Nothobranchius furzeri: one gene and its partners. The protein of the gene in region 3 purifies or fractionates together with the protein of the main gene of each other region. This does not show direct contact. Links are inferred from orthologs where the notes say so. Each region holds a gene or a part of one and is shown on either strand. Other genes may lie near its edges. The genes, in order: RNA-binding protein with serine-rich domain 1, sap18 and acin1b.

What was found.
Region 1: the proteins of acin1b (region 3) and RNA-binding protein with serine-rich domain 1 purify together in Homo sapiens (affinity purification with mass spectrometry; 6 studies listed by BioGRID and IntAct, with this or other methods). This does not show direct contact. The link is inferred for Nothobranchius furzeri from reciprocal best matches to the Homo sapiens genes ACIN1 and RNPS1.
Region 2: the proteins of acin1b (region 3) and sap18 fractionate together in Homo sapiens (co-fractionation; 7 studies listed by BioGRID and IntAct, with this or other methods). This does not show direct contact. The link is inferred for Nothobranchius furzeri from reciprocal best matches to the Homo sapiens genes ACIN1 and SAP18.

The regions. Positions count from the first base shown.
Region 1 is NC_091752.1:58,150,075-58,154,837, forward strand, and holds RNA-binding protein with serine-rich domain 1, read left to right. Parts: upstream 1-1,767; 5' UTR 1,768-1,889; coding exon 1,890-1,891; intron 1,892-2,793; coding exon 2,794-2,943; intron 2,944-3,039; coding exon 3,040-3,219; intron 3,220-3,298; coding exon 3,299-3,404; intron 3,405-3,706; coding exon 3,707-3,860; intron 3,861-3,957; coding exon 3,958-4,099; intron 4,100-4,173; coding exon 4,174-4,279; 3' UTR 4,280-4,568; downstream 4,569-4,763. UniProt on the Homo sapiens protein: Part of pre- and post-splicing multiprotein mRNP complexes. Auxiliary component of the splicing-dependent multiprotein exon junction complex (EJC) deposited at splice junction on mRNAs.
Region 2 is NC_091754.1:55,848,190-55,852,516, forward strand, and holds sap18 (histone deacetylase complex subunit SAP18), read left to right. Parts: upstream 1-1,296; 5' UTR 1,297-1,404; coding exon 1,405-1,476; intron 1,477-2,622; coding exon 2,623-2,732; intron 2,733-2,806; coding exon 2,807-2,929; intron 2,930-3,026; coding exon 3,027-3,183; 3' UTR 3,184-3,280; downstream 3,281-4,327. Other genes in the region: rtraf (RNA transcription, translation and transport factor protein), read left to right, coding at 4,102-4,162. UniProt on the Homo sapiens protein: Component of the SIN3-repressing complex. Enhances the ability of SIN3-HDAC1-mediated transcriptional repression. When tethered to the promoter, it can direct the formation of a repressive complex to core histone proteins.
Region 3 is NC_091742.1:59,514,033-59,518,821, reverse strand, and holds the start of acin1b (apoptotic chromatin condensation inducer 1b), read left to right. Parts: upstream 1-1,641; 5' UTR 1,642-1,785; coding exon 1,786-1,920; intron 1,921-4,789.

The DNA of each region.
Region 1 (4,763 bases), on a different chromosome or scaffold from region 3:
TTGTACAACGGCCACAAAGGCTATTCTATTCTATTCTATTGGTTAAGAGGTACACTATAACGTTAGCTGACACGCTATGATGTCACAATGCCATTGTGAGCCTGTGTGTGTTATTTGTTAATGGCTCCGCCCTCTCGGTCTGCCAGGCAACTGCATTTGTTGCATTTTTCAAATAGGAAGTGCAAGTGGAGTAAGACTCTGGTAGGGGGGTGACTTGCTCCTTAAATGGTCTTTGCTGGTTGCTGCTTTGGATGCTTTTCCAGACTTCTTTGTATATTTCACAAAGGCCCAGTTAGGGTATCTGCAATTTTGGAGTCTCCAAGCAGTTTCAGTCTAGGTCACACCTTTCTGCATCTAATCAACACAACAACTCCCTCCCAATAGAGGCTGACGACTCATCAGGGGATGGAGAAGCGGGTACCCAGAGTAGTTTTGGCTCGTTAAATAACAATAGACAGCTTGACTCTCCCATATTCCAGTTAGAATTGACAAAGCTCCTCAGATGAGAAGCAAATTGTCTTCAAGAAACTAAAGAAGTCCAGTTGCCTTCATCTGAACCCTTTGGGTTACCATGACCTGGATGACTGAGAACCTTCATCAGCATATCTACACACACGTTTTACTTCATGATCTCAAGCACAAGTGAATGGGACATAAATGTAGGTTTTAGGGCTGTGCAGGTATTGAAACCAGATTTTAGGAAAAGTGAAGTTTTTTTAAATGAAATAATGTTTCTGCAAATAAAAATCTACTTTCAGCTCACACTTGATTCAGAAATGAACATGTATAATCAACATACCGTATGTAGCATCCAGTCACATGGCTGCAACAAAACCTCAGGTTAAATATTTTTTAATCATCCATTTAAATAGATAGATGTTTATGTATTTTGCAGACGCTTTAGTCCAAACTTTGGATTCCAAAGTGACTTACAAGTGATAATCAGCATGTTGCCCTTGAGGCTAACAACAACAGTAACAACAACAAACAATTTCCAGTCAGTTGGTGGCAGTGAGGCAGCATGATGAATCATGGAGAACAAGGAGTGGACAGTAGAGAGGGGATGGGTGCAGGGAGGGTGCTAGTTTAGAAGATGTTCTCTGAAGAGCAGGGTCTTCAGGAGTTTCTTGAAAATAGATGGACCATTAATGCCTCAGTTAAACATGGTTATTTGAAAGGTACAAATAATCAACTCCAGTAATCAGGAGACCAAATAATTAATCTTTTATAAAACAAGCATGAGGCTGTTTCACGCATGTGGATATGAGCTCACTTAATAAATCCTGGTTAAACCATGGTGAAATTACAGGCATGATGCATGATCATTTCACCTTTTTACTCCGGAATCCTTAAAAAAGAAATCCAAACGGTGAACGTTTCAAAACACAAACCAAGCCCCAAAACTTCCATTCTCAATGAAAACAGATTAATATGAATTTATTGATGCAGTCCGTCAATGGCTGTGATCTGTGTCTTCTTAAAGACAGCTGTTAACACTGTCCTAACGCGTAATGCGCTACAGCAACGCAACAGCTCAAACCGCATCTACATGTCAACATTGGACACATATCTACAGGAAAACAGATGCTAGCTGAGCTAGCTGTCAACAACATCTGTCATTAATGTACCTCTCTCTCTCTGTCAACAACAGCGAAGCCCCACCACCGTTTCAAACTTGACAAACTCATTTCATATCCAAAAGCGCGTCCGTCTGTGTTTCTACAGAGATGTCGGAAATGCAAGCTGATATTTCACCGTCAACGTCGTAAAATAAACAAATGAGTTGTAAGTGGCGCTCAAGCAGGAACGCAACTTCCGCTGGCGTCATCAACCGTCGACAAGCGAACAGGCCGCAAGTGGTGGAAGCAGAGCTACATCGTCCATAAAAAATGTAGGTTTGAGCTCTTTCCTGGCTTAAAACTGTCCGTTTTTAGTTGTGATGCTTAGTTAATCAACTCTGAAAACCCAGGCGTGTTTTACCGTCGTGTGCTTGTTGCGTGAAGAGCTGAGTGATCGGTTAACGGCATGGTCGGAGCTCTCCTTGTTTAGAGGCAGCGGGCTGAATGAAACTCGTTGGCGGCGGATTTCTGCCTGAGTGCTGCTTTTTCCTATAATAACATAACAAATGTTTACGATTTCCAGCAGACATTTGGTGCTCCCTAAACTATGTGTGATGTGGATTGTTTTTATTTATTTCAGTTATAAATCATGTATATCGTGTTTAGTCTCTTTCAGCTAGCTTACGGCTTGAATTTTTGGTGCCAGATAAGTTGTGTAATATTAGGAGAAAAACGTTATTAGTTTTTTTTATCAGTTGCTTTTACATTAAGGGATTTATTTTAAAATTGAGACATCAGTGTAGTTTTGATAAATGTTCAAGAAAATAAAATTATAAAAATCTTTGTTGCACAAAAGGAAATAAACCTACTGGGGTTTAATTATTCTAAACAAAGAGACAGAAGTTTATTGACTAGTCTGTTGTTTTAACAGCTGGAATAACAACTTAGCGTTCTGTGGTAATTCCACAGTAATGGTAGTGCATCACACTAAAGAAATATTCCTTAGCATTAAAGATTAAACACAACAGTTAAAATGTTGCTTTGTGTTTCATTTTAACTGACAGAAAACACAAAATACACTTTTTGGGTTTCATTTTCAGCTTGTTGAGATTACAGATTAGACCCAGATTTGAATTCTGCATGAATTTGAACATTCCCACAATTTGTAGCTCTTAGATTTGTTAAATCCATTTGTGTAAAACAACTAAACTAACAGATGTTTACATCACTTTAGGGCACCATCTCCTACGAAAAGGAAGGAGGAAGAAAAATCTAAAGATAGGGGCAAAGAGAAGACTGCCACCAAGGAAGGAGACAAAGAGAGAGGACGGGACAAAGTAAGGAAACGTCGTAGTGCCTCTTCTGGAAGCAGCAGCAGCAGCAGGTCTGAGTTCCTTCTCATTTGTTATATCACTAGAGAAATCTGTGCTAAAAATTCCTAACAAACCATTTCATTTGTTCTGATTGTGACCGGATCCAGATCTAGCTCATCATCCAGCAGCAGCTCTGGTTCTAGCTCAGGTTCCTCGAGTGGATCCAGCTCTTCTGGCACCAGTCGATCTGGATCGTCCAGCTCTCGATCGTCATCCTCCTCCAGCTCCTCTGGCTCGCCGAGCCCCAGCCGCAGGCGCCATGACAACCGCCGGCGCTCCCGATCACCGTAAGTCTTTGTTCGTGTCTCAGTGTTTACGATGACTTTTGGTTTCTAGTTATTTATTTACTGCTTTCTGATTTTTCAGGTCTAAAACACAGAAGAGAGGAGAGGACAAAGAGCGAAGGAAACGAAGCCCGATTGTCAAACCCACTAAGGTTCACTTAGGAAGGCTGACCAGAAACGTTACCAAGGTTAGCTTAAATGAAGAACATCTGCTTTCTCTTTCTCATCATGTCTGCTTTTATTTGAGACTATGATGCAATCTCAAGGTTATGTAAGTGCACAAGAACAGCCACGCACATCCTTAATGTGTAGTAATTAAAGATAAAATCTGAGAAGATTTTCTTGTGTGCATCGGGTGTGTTAGTCATCAGCAATGCTCTGCTCAAAACAAAAAGGAGAAAATAAAGAGTTTGTTTTATTTGTTTGGCATCAAGATAATTTTGTGTCAAAGTTGAGAGAATATCTGACCTTTCTATTTCTGTTGTACCAGGATCACATCCAGGAGATCTTTTCCACTTATGGAAAAATCAAAATGATTGACATGCAGATGGATAGGATGCACCCACACCTGAGCAAGGGCCATGCTTATGTGGAGTTTGAGACCCCTGAGGAGGCACAGAAGGCCCTTAAACACATGGACGGAGGTTGGTGTGCATGTTCAATTTAACAGCCTCTGGGTCTCAGGAACACTGGGGGTCTTTTCTGTGTGTTGATTATTTTTTATGACTATTATAAAAACAGGTCAGATTGACGGACAGGAAATCACAGCCGCTGCTGTTCTGCCTCAACGGATCCGTCTACCACCTCGCAGACTGTCTCCTCCTCGCAGAATGCCCCCACCACCTCCTATGTGGCGGCGCAGCCCACCACGCATGAGGAGGAGGTATCGCCTACAGACAGTTTCAGCCATAAACACACACACGTGTACAGGTAATAATGCCGTTTTTGTTGTTTCAGGTCTCGTTCTCCAAGGAGACGATCCCCGGCACGTCGCCGTTCCCGCTCCAGGTCTCCTGGTCGCCGGCGCCATCGCTCTCGCTCCAGCTCCAACTCCTCCAGATAAACTCATTCAGATGTCATGTGGTTTTCTACGCTGTGATGCTGATCAGCTACAACCCTCGTTTTCTCAGACTCCTTTGACTCAGTAGAAATGCCATCATCTACGCTGTATGTGTGGTCATAGCAAGAGTGCTTCTGTTCCATTTGATTTTTTCTTAAATTTTGTGCTAAGTTGATTCAGAAAAGTTAGCTTAGTTTTATGTTGCCTCTACCGGGATCTACAAACATTTTGTTTCCTTTTACCTTGTATTACGTCCTTTTAACTTTTAAAAAATAAAGATGCAGAAACAGAATTTCTGAATGTTCAAGTTAAACTTCTTGTCTCAGCAGCTCTAAGGTGACTTACTGTTAAATAAAAGTTCATATTTTACATCGATCTTTCTATTTGTGAACTTGCATAGAAACTACAATGGCATCTCATTACTATGAGAGACTATCTCTTATTTATGACACTAATTGTACATCTTACCTAAGGTTTTGTCACTCGA
Region 2 (4,327 bases), on a different chromosome or scaffold from region 3:
CAGTGTTATGATCTGTGGTTGCTGCAGGTGGTCGGGTCTAGGTTCAGCAACAGGATGTGCTCCAAGAATGAGGTCAGCTGACTACCTGAATATACTGAATGACCAGGTCATTCCTTCTTCCCTGTTGGCACGGGCATATTCCAAGATGACAATGCCAGGGTTCATCGGGCTCAGATAGTGAAAGAGAGGTTCAGGGAGCATGAGACATCATTTTCACACATGGATTGGTCACCACAGAGTCCAGACCTTAACCCCATTGAGAATCTTTAGGATGTGTTGGAGAAGGCTTTGTGCAGCGGTCTGACTCTACCATCATCAATGCAAGATCTTTGTGAAACTTCAATTCAACACTGGATGGAAATAATTCTTGTGCAGAAACAATGCCACAGTAAATACATGTCGTAATCAAAGCTAAAGACAGTCCAACAAAATATTAGAGTCTGGGAACTTTTAATTTGGTGGTGACTTATTGTTTTGGGCCGTGCAGTGTACAAATGATAAATAACTCACACTTACTGTATATAGCGCTTTTCTGAGTCAGAGAACTTCAAATCGCATTACTCTATAGTGAATATGCAGAAAGAAACCAAGCTAAGTGAAATTAAAAGACGTAAATGATTATATTTCAACGGAGTTTGAATGCAAAATAACCAGGAATCCTGGATAAACTCAATACATTTTTTCGGCTCATTTCATAGGACAATTTGGGTTTTGGCCATCAGATGGTAATGTAACTACCGGTACTTCACGCTATGGTTTTGGCAACCCAATATAGCATATAAATCTCATTTCTCATTTTCTATTTTCTAATAAGAATTTTACCTTAAATTCGTACATTTTGATATTTGAATTAGTCTTGTGTAGGCAGCAAGAGTTGTTTTTATTCGCCCTGTTCTTGCCGTGTGTAATGTTCAATGTTCTAACAATCTTCTGAATTGAAGTCACTATTCAGATTAAAGTGTAGTGTGCTGAGTTCAGTTTCAGAAATTTATGTATTCTAGTTTATATTCTTTTTGGTGAGAAGTGCCAACAGAGAATACTAATGAGTCTGTCACTGAAACTTGAGAGAGCGGTTTGCTTATGTAAAACAATAACTTGCCATCCCTGTAAATTCATGCTGTGTTTTTCTTCTAAACGCTTTTTAAAGTTATTTTTAAAACACAGGATTTTTTTTATTTTTGCCATGTTAACAGTTTCGATCGCTTCTCCAGGAGGTAAAGAAAACCTTTGCTGTGTTTAAAAAATAACCTAAAAACGGAGTAACGTGAATAACTTGCCTTACTTTCACGTGACCGGAAAAGCCTACGCTTTACGTTATGTTCATGTTGCCGTAAAAATATCATCGCTGAAAGACGCAAGTTGCAGCCAGACAGCTTAATAACATTTTAACTGTGTTAAACAAAAATGGCCCTTGAGTCGCGGATCACTCAGGAGGAAATTAAGAAGGAGCCCGAAAAGCCCATCGACCGGGAAAAGGTTAATGTTTGGATAATGTTCAGTAACTCGCTCATCGTGTTGTGTGCTTCTAGCTAACCTTGTTAGCTGGTTTTAAACACTAAAACGGCAGTCGGGAGGAGTAAAAGCTTAAAAAGTGTTTTAAAACGGTCATTTACAGCTATTTAATGTAGCCGTTCTCAATTCTGTGTCGTAAATGTTTTATTTGAACTAAATAAATTAAAATTGTGTATGATTTATCTCGACGGCACCGTCTAGCATGCTAATAAGCTAATGCTAGCAACGCTTTACATGAAAAGACCTCTAAATGTTTTCAGTATTGTAAATGAGTCGGTTTTCCCTGAACAGATAAACATGGTTACATTTGAAAGTTGAAAATAATACTTTTAAGCCTGCATTTTTATTGTTCTTAAGGCAGATAAATAAACTTAAAAAAAGCAAGTATTTTTATTTGTGCTTTTTAACGCGCAAGCACAAGAGTAATAAACAGCAGAAACACAAATAAAACTGTTAAATAAATAAACGAAGGTAGATGTAATTGTCTATTATTTACGTTTAGCAGGAGAAAAAGGGTTGACCATAAGAAAAAATAACGGATATTTGTGAATTATAAATTGATTTTATTTGCTGTAGACTTATACCTGCGAAAACAAATAAGTTTCTATTGGATAATTTACAATAATAAAGAATTGATATAAATAAATATTTTACAATAAGAAATGCTTAATAGAAAAGGGCAATCATATTTCAAATATAGTTTAAGATAACTTTTCTTATTCTGTAAAAAAATTGTAATTTCTGTTTTTGGGTTCAGCCTAATAAAAACATTTTTCCCACATGTGCATTAAAAGGTTGCAGAAAAGTTCACTAAATTTCTTAATCAGGAACCAGATGGCAATCTTAAAAAGCCATTTCTTTCTATCAGCTGTAGGTACTTATTACGGCCACCAGGGGGCAGCGAAGACTCACTTCGGAACTCACTTTGCCCTGATGAAAACTTTCAAAATAAGGTTTATGTAAAAAAAAAATCCAGTTGAATCATTGAAATAACACTGACATTTACATCAGTTATTCTAAATGTGTTCATATATTTAAATCACATGTAAAGAATGTGATATTTATTTGTACTTTTGCTTATGTTTAACTTAGTTTTCTTGTTTCCTTCAGACCTGCCCCCTCCTCCTGAGAGTATTTACTACCAACAGTGGCCGACACCACAGAATAGAGGAATTTTCTAGAGGGAACGTTCCTTCCAGCGAGTTGCAAATCTACACTTGGTAAGACTTACAAACCATTACGTTTCTGGTATATGCTACAGAACCTCTGAAACAAGTGTTTGTTTACATCACAGGATGGATGCTACTCTGAAGGAACTAACTGGTTTAGTGAAGGAAGTGTATCCAGAGGCCAGGAAAAAGGGGACCCACTTCAGCTTTGCCATAGTCTATCCAGAACCCAGAGGGAAAATGTACAAGTAAGTGTCGAGCAACACAGATCGGGGTCGTAAAATCATACTATTGTTCATGAATTCCTGTGGACTGAGTTTGTGCATCTCTTTTTACAATGTTCAGGTTAAAAGAGATCGGCAGTACCATGTCTGGCAGGAAGGGTTTGGAAGACTCCATGACGCTGCAGTCCCAGCGGTTCCAGATTGGAGACTATTTGGACATAGCCATCACACCGCCCAACAGAGCCCCGCCCCTCAACCAACGCATGAGGCCCTTCTGAACGCACATGAAGCGATACATCTGTTTTTGGGTTCTCTTGAGTAGTTTAGCCTCATTTTATAATTCTTCATGTTTAATAAAGCTGTTTTTTCCCTATAGACTGTTGTTGAGTAGTTAATATCAATAATGTGTGTTTGTGAAGAGTTAATTTGCAAAAACAGACCAGTTTTGATCAAACATACCAAACTCACTTGAATGATAATCCTTAATTTAAAAAGTTTTTTTTTTTTTTTTTTTTGCAAATTTGTATAGAGACTTCTCTGTTTCGTTATATAAACTATGTATTTAAGTTAAGGTGCCATCTCCACATTTGACCCATCGCCATAGGGATGGGTGAGCTGTAATTATGGCTGTGCTCAGGAACCAGTTGGTGGTTTAACCCCCAATCCAACCATTTTAAAGTTGAGTGTCAAGCAAGGAGGCATTGGGTCCCATTCTTAAAGTCTTTGGTGTGACACGACTGGGATTTGAACCCCGAATTCCAGACAGGGCGGACACACTACCACTAGACCACTGAGCTGGTATTAAGTCATTTTAAAGAAAAAGATAGACCACGGATAACGTTATTTCAAGCTCTTTGGTGTCTACAAGCTTAAAGTAATGGACGTATGCTTCAACAAACTCAAATGTGGGTATTTGAAAAAGAGACAATGGCAAAGGTCCCCTTTTTCCTGGCCTCTCCATACACTTCCTTTACTAAACCAGTTCGTTCCTTCAGAGTAGCATCCATCCTGTGACGTAATAAGACACTTGTTTCAGATGTGAATTCGTTGTTAGCTCTTATTTTGGAAAGCACAACCGGAAATACTCAACTCCGACAACGCATGCGCGCTGCCGCACACTGAGCTAGCAACGTAGTGGTCATTTAAGGTTTAATTATTTAGAAACAACGAAGGGTTTCACATTAAAACTTCGTGAAATGTTTCGCAGAAAACTAACAGCTCTAGATTATCACGATCCCAGCGGGTTCGACTGCTCAGGTAAGCAATAAACAGGCTGTTTAGGAGGTTCGGTGAGTTTTAATGGAACCAAGTTAGCACGAAGTCCTGAGGCGGCGAACTAAACGCTACAAATAGACTATTTTAAGGTTGTGCTCAGTTTTAGTAGCACACGTGTTTTATCAGCTTTAATATCTTCATAAATCA
Region 3 (4,789 bases):
TTTGAAAGTCACCGTTTCATCGTTTCTAGCTGAAACGTCTTATTTGTTTTCCACACTTGGGTTTTATTGTCTTTCTGGGGCCCTGCAACAGGTGTTTTAAACGTATTAGTTCTGTCTTTAAAGAGTGTGTGTGAGTGTGTTTATTCTTTTTTTTTTGCCCTCGTTTATAAGCCGGCGTTTTTGCTTTGATGGTACACCTTCTGTTTTTTTAAGTGTTAACTTATTGAATATTTTATTCAAACCTTGCTGTGGTCCAAGTGTCGGTGTGGACGTGCTATTTTGGGAGTTTTGCTTTAATGTGCTTGCCATATTTCTTGTCCCCACACATGAGTCATTTCCTTTCCTTTATTTATCTAGCAACCCTCTCAAGTCCAAAAATAGTGCAAGAGGAGGCCTGGCATCCTGCTTCTGACCCGCTTTTCTCGATACCTGATAGGCCTTCCCTTTTTCTTGTTATGAATCTGATCTGCATGCTGGAAGTTTTGTGCTTTTAAATAAGCAACGTGACACTTCAAGGGTAGTGTTTAACGAACATTTTATGCTTGATCTGTCTTCTGCTAGAAACGGTTGAAACATGACTGGACAGATTTTTTATTTCGCTGTCATGCAGTCCCATGCATGTCGAGTTAACAACCCAGGAACTAAAAGATGGTTAATGATTGCTGAATGAAGAATTACCTAAGCTTTTTTTTTTTTTTTTCACACTCTGTCATCAGAATCCTGTTGACCAAGTTCTCCTGTCCCAACATGTCTTGTTTAGGTGTCTTCTGCTTTACTTTTAGTCATTATTAGCAATGTTCGTGTAAGTAAACGCTGAGGTTTATACACAAAGTATGCACCACAATCTGACCTTCCAGGTGATGCTGCCGTGGCCTCGAGTGAAAACTACAATATAAAGCACGGCCCACCTAAGTTTGTTTACATTTAGTATTCTTCATGAGTGATGTGTTGCATTTTACAGCTTAAACACAAAATCAAGTTGTTGTTTTCTTTACAAAGAGGGATATACATTTTAAGATTTAATTACATGATCTGATTTATGGATTCAAATGTCATGATGCCTTTTGTTTTACTGTCTAAAGCTTTGATGAAGCGCCACCTTCTGGACGTTTGAAGTATTATCTAAGGAGTACTCAGCAGATCAAACCCCATCACTGTGTGCTAGAATATAACTGACAACCTTTAGATTTTTGTTATTTTTTATTCATATCTTTAATTTTACATTTGCATGGCTTTTAAGTTCTTTACCTTTTTATGCACATATTTCACCTGGGGATTTTAATTTTGAGTGTTAGCATTTTTATATACATATTTTACACTACAAGGTAAAAATATGGCAACCGTTACTTTGTATAGGGGCTTTTGTTTGTATTTGATAACGTATTGAGAAGACCCTTGGACTTGTTTTTTTAACACTACTTTTGATGTCAGTTTTGGGTCTGTTCATTATGCACAAATAGATTCTTTACTACAAACGCGTTTTGCTTTGCGTGAACTTTCATATTGTGTTTTTTTTTTCCATTCAGGTTCTGTGAATAACGGTGTTATTTATTGATCCTGTCGGATATTTCTTAAACCAAAAATGTCGGTGGCCTAGTTTTCCTTTAAGAAATAAAAGGATAAAAAACTGTTCTGAATTGAGCTGAATAAGTGGCGGGAAGGGTGAAACTGGCTCGGTTCGTGTGATTCGGCTGAAAAAACGAGCGTTTCCGGAAACTACCGAGCAGTGACGCCGAGCGGCCGTAGCGACGTTTGTTGGGAGTTTAGACAAGCGGAGGGAGCAAAATGGCGGACGAAGATATTACGCTTGATGGAAAACCTCTACAGTCGCTCCGAGTTGCGGATTTGAAAGCTGCCCTGGAGCAAAGAAACCTCCCGAAAAGCGGACAGAAAAACACGCTGATTAAGCGACTCAAAGGGGTAAGTTTGTGCGCTTGCTTTGCTAGTCTGTCGAGTCTGGCTAACTTCAGCAGGAGGCGAGAGACGGCAGGAGGGGGGGTAACATTAGAGGCCGTAACGGTGTGTTGAAGCGGGAATCCAGAAATTGTCATGCTCACCGTGTTAGAAGTAAACACGGCACTTTGTTACCGACAACACAACCGGACTATCTGCCTAACGAGGCCCGAGTTGAGTCGTAACTAGTCACCGAACACCGTGTTGCACACAGTTGAACTGTGCACCTGTCAACTCGAGGCCTAAGCTGAGAGTAGCCAACAGCCGCACACAGTGTACAGTACTTGACAGTACCCGCGGGCACGCCATCCGAGTGTGTTCTGGAGGCACGGGAGCGCGCACAGCTATGTAAACACAAATTGACGAGCTTTGTTATCTTGTGCGTTTTTATTTTCACTGATGTCAGATATGTATTTAACATACACATAAGTGATTTTACGCAGAACACTGAACACAAAGAAGCCTTAAATGTTGATTATATAATTGTTTCCACTGACCCGTCCTACAGAAAAAGGTTAGCAAACATGCTAGTTGAAGTCTCGAAATATTTTTAATTTAGTAAGAAAACACCGTTTTTTTTGCTCCAATCGAATTAAAATTTAAAGATTAAAGTTACATTTCCTTATATGAATATATATTTGGATTATTTTGTAGGAGCATTCAAGAAGTCTCGCATCCCATCTGTTGCTATAAGACGTTGCACTTTTCTCTTAGAAAGTTTTATTGTTGGTCAAAGATGTTTGTCATCATTTAAGCAACGGACCTTTTACAACGTACTGAATCGGATTAAATTGTAACTGGATTTTAAGTAGAATCCTAATTCAGGTGTAATTGGATATTTGGAAATTAATTGAATGAACTGGATTTAACTAGATTACATGCAATTCAGTTTCAGTTGAACCCACTTGTTATTTGATAAATAATATGCCCTGGAATTTATTTAATTGTGAATTAATTAATTTATTATGAATAATTTCAATAAAAAAACTCAACTGAGGTGTATATATAATATATATATATATATATATATATATATATATATATAATATGCATATTATATATCTACAGGGTTTTTCCTGGCTCAAATTAAGGCAGAGGTGGTACCATCCTGACCATGCGTCAGCACATGCATACTCTATGCATTCAACTGCCTCACTTTTTTAAAGGCTAAATATTATAAAAGGCTCAATAATATGCATTAGAGTAGTGTTTAGTTCCCTTTTTCCCATCTGATATTTATGGTTAAAAATATTTTTAAATATTTGACCTACATTTCAGTAACATTTTAGGTTTGTATTAATAACACTCATCTTAGTCAAAATAACATAAATAAATCCAGGAAAATATAATGCATTTCATTAACATGCATTTGTATTAGAATTGCTAATAACATTTAATTTCTGCTGCTAACAATGTAATGGTGGCATGTCTATTATGTATGGGTTAGGGGGGTGTTTTGTTTTGTTTTGGCCCCTAAAATGCTTTGAAACGGCCCTGGGTGTGTGACTGAGTTTTGAAGGTGATCTGAATTGTATCAGATGTATGAGTATGACATGTGGATAACTTATTGTTTTATAACTTATTGTAACTTATTATAAAAACGTGTAGTGGAGATAACTCTACCGACATTTGACTTTCAAGATTTGTTTTCTTGTTTTATTTAACTATTTTCCTGTCCTGTCTGTCTCTCATCTTCCTGCATCTCCTCTAAACTCCAGAAAAACTGCTGCCTGGATTCTTACTTTTTCACCTCATCAGTTACTTTTGAGCAGATCAAAGGATCTCCTGATCGCAAAGCATAGTGTGCGTTTCGATTAGGGCTGCAACTAACGATTATTTTCATAATCGATTAATCTGTCTATTATTTTTTTTCGATTAATCGGTTTGTTATTGTTTAGCTATTTAACCTATACAAGTGATGAATACATTTCAGTTAAGAAAAACATAAGAGAATTGTGCAGTTGACTGCAATCTATTTTATTGCACATGAACACAGTCAGCGGTGTAAAATGAGCTAAACAGTGCAAAATATCAGTCCAGAATAATTTTTTGGCATCAAAATATAAGAGGTAAATTCCATAAAAAAATAATGCAGAATCTAGAATAGAGTTTGTAAGTGGTATGCATTGCTGGGGGGTGAGTGTCTTGTTCCCCTTGTAGTTGTCCATCGTTGCTTGTTTTTTTCTGCATAAGAAACACTGAAATAAGTACACATATAAAATAAAGCAGCACACACACTACAACACTAAATCAATATTATATTATTTGAATTAATTAACAATATACAGTGATCATTTATTTTGATAAAAATGTGTTGTGAGGCGTTTTACAGCGTTAGATAGTAAAACAGCCTTTTAATAGTAAAAAAAATGACTTTTTCTGAATTTCTCCTTTATTTAAAAATTGAAAGCGTACAACTATGCCGCGTTATATTCACCTGGACACAGCTCGTCTATATTTTTCTCCACGGAGTTGTCCTTTTTTGAATGAAGAACATAGTTATGGGTTTGTGTCGTTTTTCTCTTAACGAGAACATTCTTATAAACAGACGTGCTAAATTTGGCACGCGCATGATACACAACACGGAGGAGATTCACGATTTCATCTAGTCAATCAGAAGTAGAACACCGTAGACTGACGCGGCAAAAAAACATGTTTAACATCCACTATAACGAACTCAGCTAAAACACTAAGTCCCAAATTTGATCTGCATGTAGTGATGGACCACTATATTTAGCTTGTTTATTTTCTGTTTCTTACCGGGCTGGCTCCTTTGTTGCTGCATCAGCCCCCACATGTTTTCGTCTCAAATGTTCACTTAGGGACGTCGTGCTTC